Linked DNA regions of Anolis sagrei. The main gene of each other region encodes a partner of the protein of the gene in region 2 in a complex. Links are inferred from orthologs where the notes say so. Each region holds a gene or a part of one and is shown on either strand. Other genes may lie near its edges. The genes, in order: PDCD10 and STRIP1.

Region 1 (8,007 bases), on a different chromosome or scaffold from region 2:
TTGCCCGTCATAATGACCCATGGTTGGGATGCGTGTCTGAACATACATGGGGGAGGTGGTGTATGGACTTTAGCACAAGATAATGTGTTCCTGGAATTTCTTCCTATATGCTGCATAATATAATACACTTTCCTATAGGCTACAAACTGAAAATATGTGGGAACTGAAACCTAACCTGACATACTATCATTTATTTGTTTAAATAAACAAATAATGAATACAGTCTCCTAGATGTAGTGCGCCTCCTCACCTGAGAAGGGTTCAGAAGCCATCAACCATTACCACCTGCAGTTGAAATCTCATTTTAAAAATATACTGTTACAAAAGCTTCATTCATTTGCATAAGCCATAAATGTCAAATCAGTACCAAGCAAAGGGAGGGCACTTTGTGGATGAAGGGAGAGGAATGGGGAGAACATGCCATTCTCATTTCCACAACCAACCTTAGTCCAAGTGGGCCATACTCAGGGTTGGCCCAATACATTTTGTGGCCTGAGAAAGAATAGCAAACAATGGTCAATGTCACCGAAGTCAATGAAACCAAAACTCTGAAGCCTGCCTAATTATTTCAGCAAATGAGGCGGAACGCCACCACTCCCCATCCCTGGAAGCAAAAGCACAGTAATGAAGTACAGTCAGTCTCTCTGTATCCATGAGTTCAACATCAGGGATTCAACTATTTCCAAAGACAAATCTTGATTTCACCATTATATATAAGGAACAGCATTTTATATAAGGAACCTACAATTTTTGGTATCCGCAGGGAGTCCTAGAACCAAAACCTGGCAGATTCCAAGGGCCCACTATAAGCAACAAAGAATTTGTTGGCAATCCAAGTCTACTGTTTAAGACTGGCACCTTATTTTTCCTCAAATACAGCTGGCTCTGGCCAGACTTTCTCTATCAACACCAAGAAAACAAAACCCTCACTTCTACTACCTCTTCCTCCTGCCATCCCCATTATTTTTTTTCCACCTTATAAAAAACCCCCCCAAACTCCTTGGTTAATTTATGCTTAGGCACATTTAAACTGCAGAATTAATGCAGTTTGGAATCCCTTTGACTGCCATGGTTCTATGATATGGAATCATGGGAGTTGTAATTTGGTCAGGCATCAGTATATTTTACTAGGGAAGGATAAAGACCTTGTAGGCAATCCCTCGTGGCTGCATATGATCATCTTCCAGAGGTAGATTCTTGATGGTGGGTCTGTGACTGTGGGCCCATCCAGACAGGTTCTATATCCCGGGATCTCATCTCAGATTATCTGGCAACAGGGACTCATATAATCTAGTTTAAAGCAGAAAACTCGGGATCAGTTCCTGGGATATAGGGCCTGTCTGGAAGGGCCCTGTGAAGACCTATGCTAGATCCGCATGGCGTTTCGCAATGAGGACATCAATTTCAAGATGGAAGGCAGTCACAACAAAGGGTGCGACTTCCTCTTGGCTTGTTACACCCTGCACTCCAGCCTCTTCAAAATCCATTGCACCGTTTGTAAATGTTGACTTCCTGTTACAATGCTGGGGTGGCAGGGCTTCCCAGTTCTCTGTGTTTATACCACATTTTTTTAAAGTTAGCTTTGAGACCGGCTTTTAAATCATACCACAACTCCTGTGATTCCATAGCAATGGGCTGCAGCACTGCATTTGTTCCCAAACTCTGGTCTTCTGGGCAAACTTCAGCCCTCCAGATGTTTTAGACTTCAACTCCCACAATTTCTAACAGCCTACTGGCTGTTAGGAATTGTAGGAGTTGAAGTCCAAAACACCTGGATGGAGGGCTGAAGTTTGCCCATGCCTGGTGTAGATGCACTCCTCAATGTAACGCACCTACCAATTTCTTCTTTATTGCCATTGTTGTTGTTGTGTAAGTTCAATAACAATAACCAATACCATTTTGACCTGTCTCTCCTCCAAAACATCACGTCTGCATAAGAATCAAAATGTGTTTATACCACATTTTTTAAAGTTAGCTTTGAGACCGTCTTTTGAATCATACCACAGCTCCTGTGATTCCATAGCAATGGGCTGCGGCAATTAAAGTGCTGCAAAACTGCATTTGTTCCCAAACTTTGGTCTTCTGGGTAAACTTCGGCCCTCCAGATGTTTTGGACTTTAACTCCCACAATTCCTGCTGTTAGGAATTGTGGGAGTTGAAGTCCAAAACACCTGGATGGAGGGCTGAAGCTTGCCCATGCCTGCTCCGCAATATAATGCACCTACCAATTTCTTATTTATGGCCATTGTTGTTGTGTGCCTTCAAGAACAACAATCAATACCATTTTTACCTGTCTCTCCTCATCTTAAGAATAATTCACGGCGGCTGCTGTGGTTTTCAACTGTGAATGTGTTTGGATGATTTTTAACTGGGAATTTAAAAATACTATTTCAATGTTTGTATCTTTCAAATGGCTATGCCAGGCAAGTGTTTTGGATTTCGATTCCCACAATTCCTAACAGCCTATTGCAGATATGGGCAAACTTCGACCCTCCAGGGGTTTTGGACTTCAACTCCCACAATTCCTAACAGCCACAGGCCCTTTCATTTTTCCCCTCAGCAGCTTAAGCGGCTTAAGCGGCTGCGGGGAAAAATGAAAGGGCCTGTGGCTGTTAGGAATTGTGGGAGTTGAAGTCCAAAACCCCTGGAGGGCTGGAGTCTGCCCATGCCTGGCCTACCGTCTGCTAGGAATTATGGGAGTTGAAGTCCAAAACACCTGGAGGGCTGGAGTTTGCCCATACCTGGCCTACTGGCTGCTAAGAATCATGGGAGTTGAAGTCCAAAACACCTGGAGGGCTGGAGTTTGCCCATGCCTGGCCTACCGGCTGCTAGGAATTATGGGAGTTGAATTCCAAAACACCTGGAGGGAGGGCCAAATTTTGCCCATGCCTGGGTTATGCAAATGCTTTTATGTTTTGCTGCCTTGAGTCCCCTTTGGGGGAGATAAAGTGGGGGTATAAATACATATAATCCTCCCCATGGCTTCAATAGTTCCTTAATTAGGGTGACCCTCAAGGCACCCCATCACAGGGCAAGATTTCTCCAGAGAGGGGGTTGCCCTTGAGGCTGAGAGAGTGTGGCTCGCCCAAGGTCACCCAATGGGTCTCCTGAACCCTGACCTCCAGGCTGAGGCCTAGTCCACCTCCCCGAATTCCCTCTCCTTCCTCCCCGCCACTCGGGCTGGATACCTCAGCAAAGGAGGGCCTCCTCTTTCGGGGACTAGGAAGAACCAACCGCGTTCCCCTCTCTCTCTGTCTCTCTCCTCAGCCAAGCCACTAGGCCCGACGCCTGCCCTCAAGTCGGCTTGCCAGGGGCCAACCCCGTCCTCGAAGCCCCGCAGGCCAGGCCCTGCCAGCGACCCCACTACTACCGAAGGAGAGCGCGCAGCGGCCGCCTCACCTCCCCTCACCCGCCTGCCTGTCCGCCCTTCGAGGCTCCTCTTTCGCCGAGGCCGGAAGTAGCAGCGTCCTCCTTCTCTCCTATGCCACCGCCGTCGTTACCACACACCAGGCGTTGTCCGGAACTAGCCGGCGACCGCGGGGGCCCACGGGGCCTGTAGTCGCGCCTTGAACACTACAACTACCGAGATGCTTTGCGAAGACCGCAAGAGACTCATGAAAGGGGACCAATAGGGAGGAAGGGGGCGTGGCGTTGCCCATATTAGGAGAGAGAGAGATTGGGAAGTAGCGTTCGAAAGGGAGAGGAGGAGGAGCCCAATAGGGAGCAAGTGGCGTGTAGACGAAGAGCGAGACATTAGGAAGCAGCACCCGAAAGGGAGAGGAGGGGGAGCCCAATAGGGAGTAAGGGGCGTGGCGTTGCCCATATTAGGACGAAAGTGGGCGGAGACAGAGACATCTTGAAATAGCATCCGAAAGGAAGAGGAGGGGGAGCCAAGAGGGAGCAAGGGGCGTGGCGTTGCCCATATTAGGAAGAAAGTGGGCGGAGACAGAGAGATTGGAAAGTAGCATCTGAAAAGGAGGGGGGCAATAGGGAGTAAGGGGCGGGGCGTTGCCCATATTAGGAAGAAAGTGGGCGGAGAGAGAGAGAGACATTGCAAAGTAGCATCTGAAAGGGAGAGGAGGGGGAGGACAATAGGGAAAAAGGGGGCGTGGCTTTTGACCATATTAGGAAAAAGTGGGCGGAGAGAAAGAGATTGGGAAGTAGCATCCGAAAGGGAGAGGAGGGGGGCAAGAGGGAGCAAGGGGCGGGGCGTTACCTCTATATTGAAGGCAGAATAGACGAAGTGAGAGACATTGGGAAGTGGCACCCGAAAGGGAGAGGACGGAAAGGCCAATAGGGAGTAAGGGGCGTGGCTTTTGCCCATATTAGGACGAAAGTGGGCGGAGAGACATTGAGAAGTAGAATCCGAAAGGGAGAGGAAGACTAAGCCAATAGGGAGGAAGGGGGCGTGGCTTTTGCCCATATTAGGAACAAAATGGGCGGAGAGAAAGCATCTTAAAGGGAGAGGAGGGGGAGGCCAAAAGGGAGTGAGGGGCGTGGCGTTGCCCATATTTGGAAAAAAAAGGGGCGGAGAGAAAGCGCGAAGAAGCATAAGAAGGGGAGAAGCGATACACCAATCGGGAGAAAGGGGGCGTGGCGTTTTCCATATTAGGCAGAAAGGGGGCGGAGCGAAGGGGAAGTGGGCGGGCCTGCGGAGTAAAACCATTCCCAGCGCAGAGGCGCACCAGAAACAATCCCTGAGGCGGTGCCGGCGAAGGAAGCAGCGGGCTCTGAGTGCGGAGCCACATCTGGAACATCTCTCTCCATCGCTCTTGAAAGCACCTTTGGGGCAGGTAAGCTCTGCTGCCAGTCACCTCTTTGCAAGGCTTGATTGCCTCTCCCCTTTTGTTTATGTCTTTCCTTTGAGAAGAAGAGTGAATATAATTGATCTTTGGCTCCACTGAATAGGAATTTAGTAGTGGATGGTTCATCTTCCCCTTTCTTTTGCTTGGGAACAATAAACTAGTTTACATATTTCCCCCAAAATGCAATTATTATTATTATTTTGGGCAGATCTTCCAGTAGCATAACTTGAACCCACTGAATAAGATCAGGATAGTGGTTGTTTCCCACTCCTCTTTATTTTGATTAGAAAAATATAGACAAGTTTTCATTCTTTCCTCTAATTATACTAATTATTAAAAATTTCATAAATTATTTATTATTAATTGACAGACACAAAATGCAGTATGTCACAGCAAACGAGGTCTATATTATTATTGTTTATTATTATTGTTGTGAGATCTATATTATTATTGTTATATTATCAGGATATATTAACAATATATTATCAATATATCAATATATTAACAATATACCGCAATGAGTCGCCCTTGGGGCTGAGAATTGCTGTATATAAGCGCAGTAAATAATAATAATAATAATAATAATAATATTGTTATATTGTTATATTATTATTGTTATATTATCAGGAGCCCCCGGTGGCGCAGTAGGTTAAACCCCTGTGCCGGCAGGACTGAAGACCGACAGGTTGCAGGTTCGAATCCGGGGAGAGGCGGATGAGCTCCCTCTTTCAGCTCCAGCTCCTCATGCGGGGACATGAGAGAAGCCTCCCACAAGGATGATAAAAACATCAAATCATCCAGGCGTCCCCTGGGCAACGTCCTTGCAGACGGCCAATTCTCTCACACCAGAAGCGACTTGCTCCTGACACAACAAATTTTTTTGTTTATTATTGTTTATTGTTATTATTGTTGTTGTTATTTTTATTATTATTTAATTGGGCAGCTCTCCCCGTATCTTAACTTCACCCTCTCCCAATTTCCTTCCCAAGCATCTTCTCAGCTAAGTGCTGGATCACTTCCCAGAGGCTTTTCTATGTTTTCCCCTGTTGCTAGCAACCTATGAGGATATATTGTTGTCTCTCTTCCTTTCCGCCACTGCAAGCTTTAACAGTGATGTTGCAAATTAAATAATTTCTACCTGCAGTCATTTCCCCTCCCTGTATTGAATTTTGTGAAGTAACTGATTATATGGAATAATTATAGCAAATGCTCCTTTTGCTCAAAGATAATGGGCATTTCCCCCTTTGTCATTCTCCGTAAGCCCCGATTTGTGTGTGTTTGCGGTTGAGAGGCACTGTCATTTACCCCTTCAAGAGTTAAAATAATGCTACGAAATGTCATTTGAGGTATATATCTATATCTTGGTAAAGTCAGTATATTTTTCATATATATGTATCCTGGTTGTGGGATCAAGCATTTGCAGAGCAGACTGACTTACTGGTTGAATCCCCGATTTGTATGTGTTTGCAGTTGAGAGTCACTGTCATTTACCCTTCAAGAGTTAAAGTAATGCTACGAAATATCGTTTGAGGTATATATCTATATCTAGGTAAAGTCAGTATATTTTTTCATATATATGTATCCTGGTTGTGGGATCAAGCATTCGCAGAGTAGACTGACTTACTGTTTTAATGGAATGTTTCTAGGATGACGACTTAAATTGGCAAACTGTTTTAATGAATTTTTATATCTGTTTTATTATAATATGTGTATATATGCTTGTTTTTACTTTGTTGTTGGCACTGTGCTTTGCCGGTTGGTAGCCACCCTGAGTTCCTCTGCAGAGGTTGAGAAAGGACTACACATGCCTAAATAAATAAATAAATAACACACACACACATCTGTATAAATAAAATTGTAATGTTCGTTTATGGGATTAACAGAATTCAAAAACCACTGGACAAATTGACATCAAATTTGGACACAAGACACTTAACAACCCAATGTATGTCCTTCACTCAAAAAAATTGATTTTGTCATATGGGAGTTGTAGTTGCTGCGATTTATAGTTCACCTACAATCAAAGAGCATTCTGAACCCCAACCAACGATGGAATTGAACCAAACTTGGCACACAGTTCTCCCATGACCAACAGAAAACTCTGGAAGGGTTTGGTGGGCAGTGTCCTTTGGTTTTGGAGTTGTAGTTCACCTACATCCAGAGATCACTGTGGACACAAACAATGATGGATCTGGACCAAACTCTACACAAATACTCAATGTGCCCAAATGTGAACACTGGTGGAGTTTGGGGAAAATAGAATCTTGACATTTGGGAGTTGTAGTTGCTGGGATTTATAGTTCTACAATCACAGAGCATTCTGAAGCCCACCAACGATAGAATTGGGCCAAACCTCCCCCACAGAACCCCCATGTGGGCCACAGCAACGTGTGGCAGGGAACGGCTAGTATCTATCTATCTGTCTGTGTGTGTGTGTCTGTGTAGATAGATAGATAGATAGATAGATAGAGTTGGTTCAGAATTGGGCAGTATCAGTATTTATCCCTAGCTCATCCTATAGTGTTGCGTCTCCCACATTACTGGTTCTTGTAAAGATGAGTACCGTATTTGACATCTATCTCTTCAAAAGTTTTATATAGAATGTCGGTCCATTGAGATGGCCATTAGGCTTTGCAATTGGTCTCTTTCATCTCTGTTGGTACAGATGGAAATCTTTATAATGAGCAATTTTGTCACTGACTTCGAATGAGGTTGTCACTTAGTGTTTCCAGATGCTTTTAAAGAAAAGAAAGAAGGCTGTACGCAGTAGAAAAGAGATATTGAAATAATATAGGGAAGAATGTTTATATACAGGTTTTCCATGCGATTTCTACATTTGGTTTCACATTGTTGTTCAGGCTACATCTCATGAAATGGATTGTGTAGCCTATGGAAACTTGTGCCAAATAAAACCAACTAGTCTTTAAAATTCCACAATATTTTTTTTTGTTCTCTTGCTGCAATGTAGCCTCCTCCCTCAATTTTTTTACTAAGGATGTGAGTCTACACTTCTTTATTGGGAGTGGAAGGGCATCTACACTGTAGAACAAATACAGTTTGATGCCACTTTAACTGCCACCGTTCAATGCTAGGGGATCATGAGTTTGTTAGGAGCCCCCAGTGGCTCAATGGATTAAACCCTTCTGCCAGCAGGACTAAAGACTGACAGGTCGGAGGTTCAAATCCAGGTAGAGCTCCCTCT
Region 2 (7,602 bases):
GGGAGCTGGAGGTGACAGAGGGAGCTCATCCACGCTCTCATCGGATTTGAACCTATGACGTGTAGGTCTTCAGTCCTGCTGGCACAGGGGTTTAACCCAAAGCACCACCGGGAGCTCCGATTTTAATGTTTATGTAGGTGTATAGTGTAATTATATCCGGCATTGAATGTTTGCCGTTTATATGTTGTGCTCCACCCTGAGACCCCTTCGGGGTGAGAAGGGCAGAATATAAATGCTTTTAAAGAAGACAGTGCTTTGCTGAAACATCAGCAGCATGATTTGAGATCGTTTTGTATTTTAACAAATACAGAGACACAAGACAGCCTTTTAAATATAGAGACGTCAATCTGGATCCAACCTATTACACTGACTGAATTTGCAAAAAGAACAGCATTTAACAAAAATGGAAATCATAATATAATGTACAACGAGTGCCTTTTCCATTTTACAAAGATTTCTGTTTATACTTTCCTTGCACAGGATTCCTTAGAAAAATAAGAGCATCATTCTCCAAATATTTAATTTTTCTGAAATCTCAGTATTCATTACAAAGATTAATGAAATGATTCAAAAGAAAGCAAGATCAGGAACAACTCTAAGCCGGGTTCTATTTTACCTGACAGTTCAGCAGCCCATTTGTCTGTATCGGCATATTCAAATTCAAAGTCTGGCGATTCTGAGAAGCCCTACAAAATAAATTAAATTTGAGATAAGGCAACGTAAATTAAAAAAAAAATCCTGTTGACTAAGGCAGGTTCAGTATTAAACATTGCTTAACTTTCCACCCACAGCTTCATAGTTACCATGGTAACCTGTTCATCCTGAAAGGATTGCATAAATCTTCCCCTCCCTCAAGCCTGCTCTGCTACATTACGCAAGTGTCAATCTCCAGTCATCCTGAAAGTCATTGGGCGCATCTACACTGTAGATTTTTTACAGTCTGATGCCACTTTATCTGCCATTGACTCTATGCTTTGGAGTTATGGGACTTGTAGTTTGGTGAGGTACTAGCCCTCTTCAGCAGAGAAGGCTAAATACCTTATAAACTACAACTCCCATGATTCCATAGCACTGAGTCACAGCAGTTAAAGCAGTGATTTCCACCCTGTGGTCTATGGATCACCAGTGGTGCGTAATAACTAAAATATGGTCCGCAGACTCAGTTGCTACACCGTTGCAACGAGAGCGACTGGTCGTGCAAAACCCTCTTATAGTACAGAGGCTTATTAAATATGGTTTTCTGTGGGCAAGCAGATGGCGACTACTGGATGGCATATGTTCTGTATCAGAAACTAGAGCTGATGTGGTCTATCCAATGCAATTTTCTGAATCAGCACCCCAAATAACCAAACAGAATCTAAAATGGACCAAAAACTGCTTCGTAACCCTTTTGGTACTAATGTTGGAGAGTGGTCCCTGGTCAAGAAAAGGTTGGGAACTACTGAGTTAAAGTGTTGTTGAATTGTATTAATTGTACAGTGCACATGTACCCTTAGACTATCTACCTGGAAGTAAGGTACAACCAAGTTCAATGGGACTTCAGAAAGGTCTCTGCTCCCAAGTATGATGAGAATGGAAGCAAAAGCTCCCATGAAGGCAGCCAGTGGAGGGATTTTCAGTTTGAGAGGTAAACAGTTCAATCACTTTCTCCCCTCTCTCTTTATTCATCTATCTATATACATACACATAGTGTGTGTCCCCAAAATGTATGTCTTAACAGCATGTAATTCTGGCATGTTTGTAATAAAAAGAATATATACCTATAACAAGATTTCACATGTAGAGAAGTGTCATGACACTACAAGAGAATGTTTGAGTGGTTTGTAGCTCTGTGCTTCAACAATGCCAGCAGTGGGTGCATGGCTGGACAGACAAATTGCAATTTAAGAAGGAATTTGTAACTCTGATTACATCACTATTAGAAAAGTTCTTCTTCAATATAAATGCATTTACCTGTGTGTGTGTATGCGCCTTAAAATGGTCAATTGACTTATGGAGATACCATTAATTTTGCAAACTTTCTTAGATTAGGGAAAGTCAATGGTGGGTTTGCCAGTTTCTTCTTCTGAAGCATAGTCTTCAGCACCTGCTATTCCTTGGTGGTCTCCCACCCAAGTACACTATAGAATGAATGCAGTTTGATTCCACTCTGTGCTACAGCATCATGGGAGCTGTAGTTTGACAAAGTCTTTAGCCTTCTCTCCAAAGAGTGCCGGCACCTCACCAAACTATAAATTCTATAACCCATACCATTGAGCCAGGGCAGTTGAAGTGGTGTCAAACTGTATGAATTCTACAGTGTAGATGCACCCATTGATAGTTTTCCATGCCAAGATTTAAAAACAAATGCTAAATCAAAAAGAATGGATGTAGGCACCATCATCTCTTCAAACAAGGTCAACAGTTCATGTATGGCTGAACAAATAGCTGCTAGCTGAGTACACTAAGCAATATGATTTTTGTCCTTGGGTTTCAATGTCATTTCCTAATTGGTTCTATCATAAAAACATTGAAAAGGTTTATTAAACTGCAAAAATTTTCTTCTTCTGGAGAGGAAAAGCAAAATATAAACAAACACCATAATATCCCTTCTCTCCAAAGAACAACTGAACTCTTACCTTTGCTCATTAGCATATAGAGAGGAGGAAGATTAGATGATGATCTACCGCTACTATACCTCTGACTGAAAACTCTTATGGTATGTGGACTTTGTAATAATAATAATAATAATAATAATAATAATAATTTGTTTTTGCGGGACATCCTGCAGCACGTTTTGCTATAGTTTTCCAATGAATATCTCATGGGGCCTCAGTCAATTCAACATAGTTTGTGGCAGCCACAAAAACGAAGTTTCTGGAGGATAACAACTACTTTCAAAGTAAGGAGTGCACAAGTAAACAGGACATAACACTTTCAAACCAGGAACAGAAAACAATTCAAATGTTGTTACATAGTGGTATCAAAACGTGCCACTTCATTCCTCTGAAGAAATATTGCCTTCCCACCTGGTACTTTTTGGCGGCCTCCCACCCAAGTGCGAACCAGGACTGACCCTGCTTAGCTTTCCCAGATCAGCCAGGATGTGGTACCATTGAGGCGTTATCACCACAGCTCCTATTGGCTGACAATGGGCCTGTGCCTGGAACACACAAGGCCTGCCTGGCAGGTGAGCTGAGGAGCCTGCCTCTTCCCCCGCGCCAGCCAGCCAGCCAACCCCCCTGGCCCCCTCTCCCACCGACCTCCGAGTCCTTCCGCTGGTTGCGGTTGGGTTCCCGGCCCTTTCCCCCGGGCCCCGTCGGCGGCGTGGCCAGCCCCAGCGCCCCGCTCCGTTGCTTGTTGTTGACAATGAGCAAGCCGCCCGGACCCCCGACACCGCCCGGCTCCATCACGACGACGACGACGACGTCGCGCCGACAGCTCTCGCGAGACTTGGCAGAGCAACAAGCTTGCCGGAAACGCCGCCATCTTGAGAGTGGCGGATAGACTTAGACGGCGGCTCCCCGCGCAGGAGCCATGTTTGGAGTGGCTAGGCCAGGTATGGCCACACTTGGGGCCTCCAGGTGTTTTGGACTTCAACTCCCACCATTCCTAACAGCCTCAGGCCCTTTCCTTTCCCCCCTCAGCCGCTGAGGGGGGAAAGGGCCTGAGGCTGTTAGGAATGGTGGGAGTTGAAGTCCAAAACACCTGGAGGCCCCAAGTGTGGCCATGCCTGATTTATATTCACTGGGTGATCTTGGGTAAGCCACACTTTCTCAGCCTCTGAGGAAGGCAAAGGCTTCTTCTGAACAAACCTTGTTTTAAAAAACACCCCCAGTCATAAGTCATAGGGTTGCATTGGTTAGAAACAAACCACCTGAAGGCTCCCAACAACTGTTGACCTTTCTCCCCTTTTATGCCTTTATGTGTGTGGCAAAGTGAGGAGTGGCAAGAGACAAAATCACAAGGTCAGACCCAGAGACAGGAATCGTCGGGATCTGTTAAGTTGGAAATTTTCTTTTAAAAATGCAATTTCCTCTCTTCTAACCAAGATGATTGACCTTTAGAATAATGGAACAGTAGCGCAGCGGGTTAAACCACTGAGCCGCTGAACTTGCTGACCGAAAAGTCGGAGGTTTGAATCCGAACGAGGTGAGCTCCCGCTGTTAGCCCCAGCTTTTGCCAACCTAGCAGTTCAAAAACATGCAAATATGGGTAGATCAATAGGTACCACTTCAGCAGGAAGGTAAGGGCTTTCCATGCAGACATGCCAGCCACATGACCTTGGAGGCGTCTACTGATAATGGCAGCTCTTCAGCTTAGAAATGGAGATTAGCACCACCGCCAAAGTTGGGCACAACTGTCAAGGGGAAACCTTTACCTTTAACCGTTATTATGAGTATCATGATATGAGCCCACAAATTGAGGTTCCACCAGTATTCATCTGATTTGATGCTCTTTTCCTTCATCTTCAATGACAGATCATGGCAGGGTTCGTTGACTTATTTGATCTCTAGATTCTTTCGGAAGGTTTCTGTTCATGGCTTCTTTCCATTCTTATGCTAAATCTCAAATTGAGTTAGCACCTCACATGCTATCCTGTAATACCTATTACACAGCCCAATTAAAATATATTGACATCTTGGTTTTTAAGACTGTTTCTGGGATTATTTGGGGGTATTGATTTAGATAATTGCATTAGAAAGTTTCTTGCATGTAGTTATGATTTTCTATGGGAAAGCAGATGGTAACTGGTAGGTGGCATATGTTCTGTATGTAAAAAAATAGAGTTGTAAGGGGGGAAAACTGGTGCCATTTTTGGAATCAGCAGGTCAAACATACCCAGAAACAGACAGGTCTTACATATAAGGCACCAAAAGGTGTGTTGGCCAGTATTATTGACATCTTTATTTCTTCTTATTTTGTTTCTAAAACTGAACAGAAGTGTAGGTTATGACTCTTAAGCTGCTTATGAGCTTGATGCTCAAAGGACTGTCTCTTCCTGGTTATACCCACCTGGATCCTACATTTAGAGGCTTTTGTTCAGATACCTCCACAAGATGAGAAAACTGGGTGCTTTTTAGTAGTGTCCTAGTTACATAATGCCTTCTTTAAAGCAATACACTTGGCACCTAATTCGACTGCTCTTTCGGTACCAACAAGAGCTTTTAAATCTTGGTGCACCATCTTTTACCTTTCTTTCACTCTTTGTATTATCTGCACTTGATCATCGTCCATCGATTTTCATGCTGCATTGCAATTTCAGTAGCATGCATTTTACTACTGTTGATTTTATCCCATGTATTTAATCCTTTAAGTCACCCTGAGAGCTTCCTATCATAGGACAGCCTTTTAAATGGATAAATGAAAATGGAAGTCCCTTTAATGTTTCAAATGAAAGATTAGCAAAAGCAGGCTCACTTTCAGCTGGGGAAGCATGACTTGTGCATGACCCCATTGCGTATTCATTTAGGAAAGCTAAGTCTAAGCACAATTTTGCATCCTATATTTAAAACGTCCCTATTAAGAAAAGGATTCCTATTAAGAAAATACATTTTAAAGAGTATTGAAGCAATGCCCTGTCAATTACTTCCCCAGTTCAATATTAATAATTTTAACTAGTTTTATTCAGTTTTATTTAGCCAGTAACATGCCTTGTAGTAAAAAGATAACTGTAATCAGAAGTCCCTTTTTAAAATGTCCATTAGTAATGATGGTGGAAGAATGAGTCCAGGACTTTTCATCACTTCTTTATGGTCAATATCTGTTTTTTCCCCAATCTCAAAGTATTTTTCTTCTTGGAATAGCAAATCTGTATTATGTTGTTCAATATGATGGGTATCCATCAGTGTACTCAATTAATATATACTTTCTTACTCTGCCTGGAGAAAGGTACATGGCTCTCCAAGGGAATAATATAAAAACTGAGATCTAACACTGAAACTGGCAGGTAGCTTGTCTCCTCTCCAGTACCTTTGAAACTGCTACTTCTGGCTATTCATCCAGAAGGGGAAAAAATCAAAGCAAAGGTAATTTTCTAACCATTTTATTTAGACTTTGCGTAATGATTTATTGCTCATCTGCAAGAATTAATATTGCATTCATTAAAAATCATTCATATACAAAATAAACCTATCCCCACCTGGGTTGATGCTATAACATGCTCCCTCCAACCAAACTGAGGTGTTGCCAGGCATGAGAGTTTATTCCATGGCTTATACAGAGATGGAGCCCTTAGCTAAGTCATCTATTGACACTGCAACACAGAGGCAGACAAATGGAATAAAGGTATCCTCCTGAACATCACGGAGGAGTTTTGGAGATTCACTCACATTGGCTTAGAGCAGTGGCTCTCAACTTGTGAGTCCCCAGGTTTTTGGCCTACAGAAATCCCAGCCAGTTTACCAGCTGTTAAGATTTCTGGAAGTTGAAGGCCAAAACATCTGGGGACCCACAGGTTGAGAACCACTGGCTTAGAGGGACCCAAGCCAATTCTAGGATCAAAATGTGTGATAAGAGAATCAAGAAACAAGAGGAGGACTGCGATACAAAAAGGAAAGAACTGATTCTATTAGGGCTGGCTGAACCTAAAATCGGATTCTGGGGAATGGGATGGCTGCAAGTTGAAAAGGCCGAGGGAGATCCTGAATTCAAGTCTGTCATTAGCCAGCACCATTTTGCAAGGCCAGTTGAAACCAAACACTCATCTGGTACAAAAGATACTACAGGACAGTCATTTAGGGGCAGAGAGTAAGCATGGCGGTTGTGCTAAGGTTTGGTGGCTCAGGCTCCTCATCACAGGCAATTTATTTTTCTCAGTGAAGGATAACACCTACATAAGAATAGTGGGACAGATTTCATGAAGATGGAATTAGGAATGTCATCTTCTGTATTTACATCATGTCTTCTGCAAAGATTACATGAAAAGGCAGAAAGTTCAAGGTTGGTCATGTATTCACGATGATTCACAGTAGTTTCTGGCTTGTTCTTACTGCCCCTCAAGACTTCAGCACATATTTGCAATAATCAGACTCAGGCAATATTTGCCTGAACTGCCATTTTTAACTTAATACCCCCCCCCCCCCATCCATGCGGAAGCCTCCCCTCATTTTCATGGCACTAAAATATGGACTGTATGTTAACTTAACATGCCAGCCTAACAGAACTGAGATCATTAAAACAGCAGAGCATTTAAAACGGCAGTGCCAATGAAGTGGGATTCCGCCTTCAAAATTCATTTGCTACAAATGAAGCCTGAAGATGGAAGAAAATGTTTTACATAAATGACTAATTCTTTATGGGATCAGAGAATTTAAGCTACTATTATCATCCAAGCACCTCCTGTATTGTGCAAATGAAGGAATAAAGTACAAGAGATGGTTCAGCTCAAATATGCTGATCTGCTTCATAGTGGGCCTTAGGAATTCAGCAACTGAAATTATCGGTTTTAAATTTTCTCCAAGCTAGATGCAAAAGGAATTCTCATCCACTGCATTTTAAATAAGGTATTGGGCTGTCTTGATTGGAAGAAGAGGAAGAAGAGGAAAGCCTAAAATCCATGGAGTGATGGGAAGAGAGGGCAGGTTATAAATAAAGTGTTATTTTTATTGTTATAAATAAAGT

The links.
Region 1: STRIP1 (region 2) and PDCD10 share a complex: the UniProt entries of both Homo sapiens proteins name them as parts of the core of STRIPAK complex. The link is inferred for Anolis sagrei from reciprocal best matches to the Homo sapiens genes STRIP1 and PDCD10.

The regions. Positions count from the first base shown.
Region 1 is NC_090023.1:250,378,666-250,386,672, forward strand, and holds the start of PDCD10 (programmed cell death protein 10), read right to left. Parts: upstream 3,580-8,007; 5' UTR 3,410-3,579; exon of another isoform or gene 3,400-3,409; intron 3,351-3,399; exon of another isoform or gene 3,189-3,350; intron 1-3,188. UniProt on the Homo sapiens protein: Promotes cell proliferation. Modulates apoptotic pathways. Increases mitogen-activated protein kinase activity and STK26 activity. Important for cell migration, and for normal structure and assembly of the Golgi complex.
Region 2 is NC_090024.1:183,920,898-183,928,499, forward strand, and holds the start of STRIP1 (striatin-interacting protein 1), read right to left. Parts: upstream 3,423-7,602; 5' UTR 3,390-3,422; coding exon 3,243-3,389; intron 687-3,242; coding exon 617-686; intron 1-616. UniProt on the Homo sapiens protein: Plays a role in the regulation of cell morphology and cytoskeletal organization. Required in the cortical actin filament dynamics and cell shape. Part of the striatin-interacting phosphatase and kinase (STRIPAK) complexes.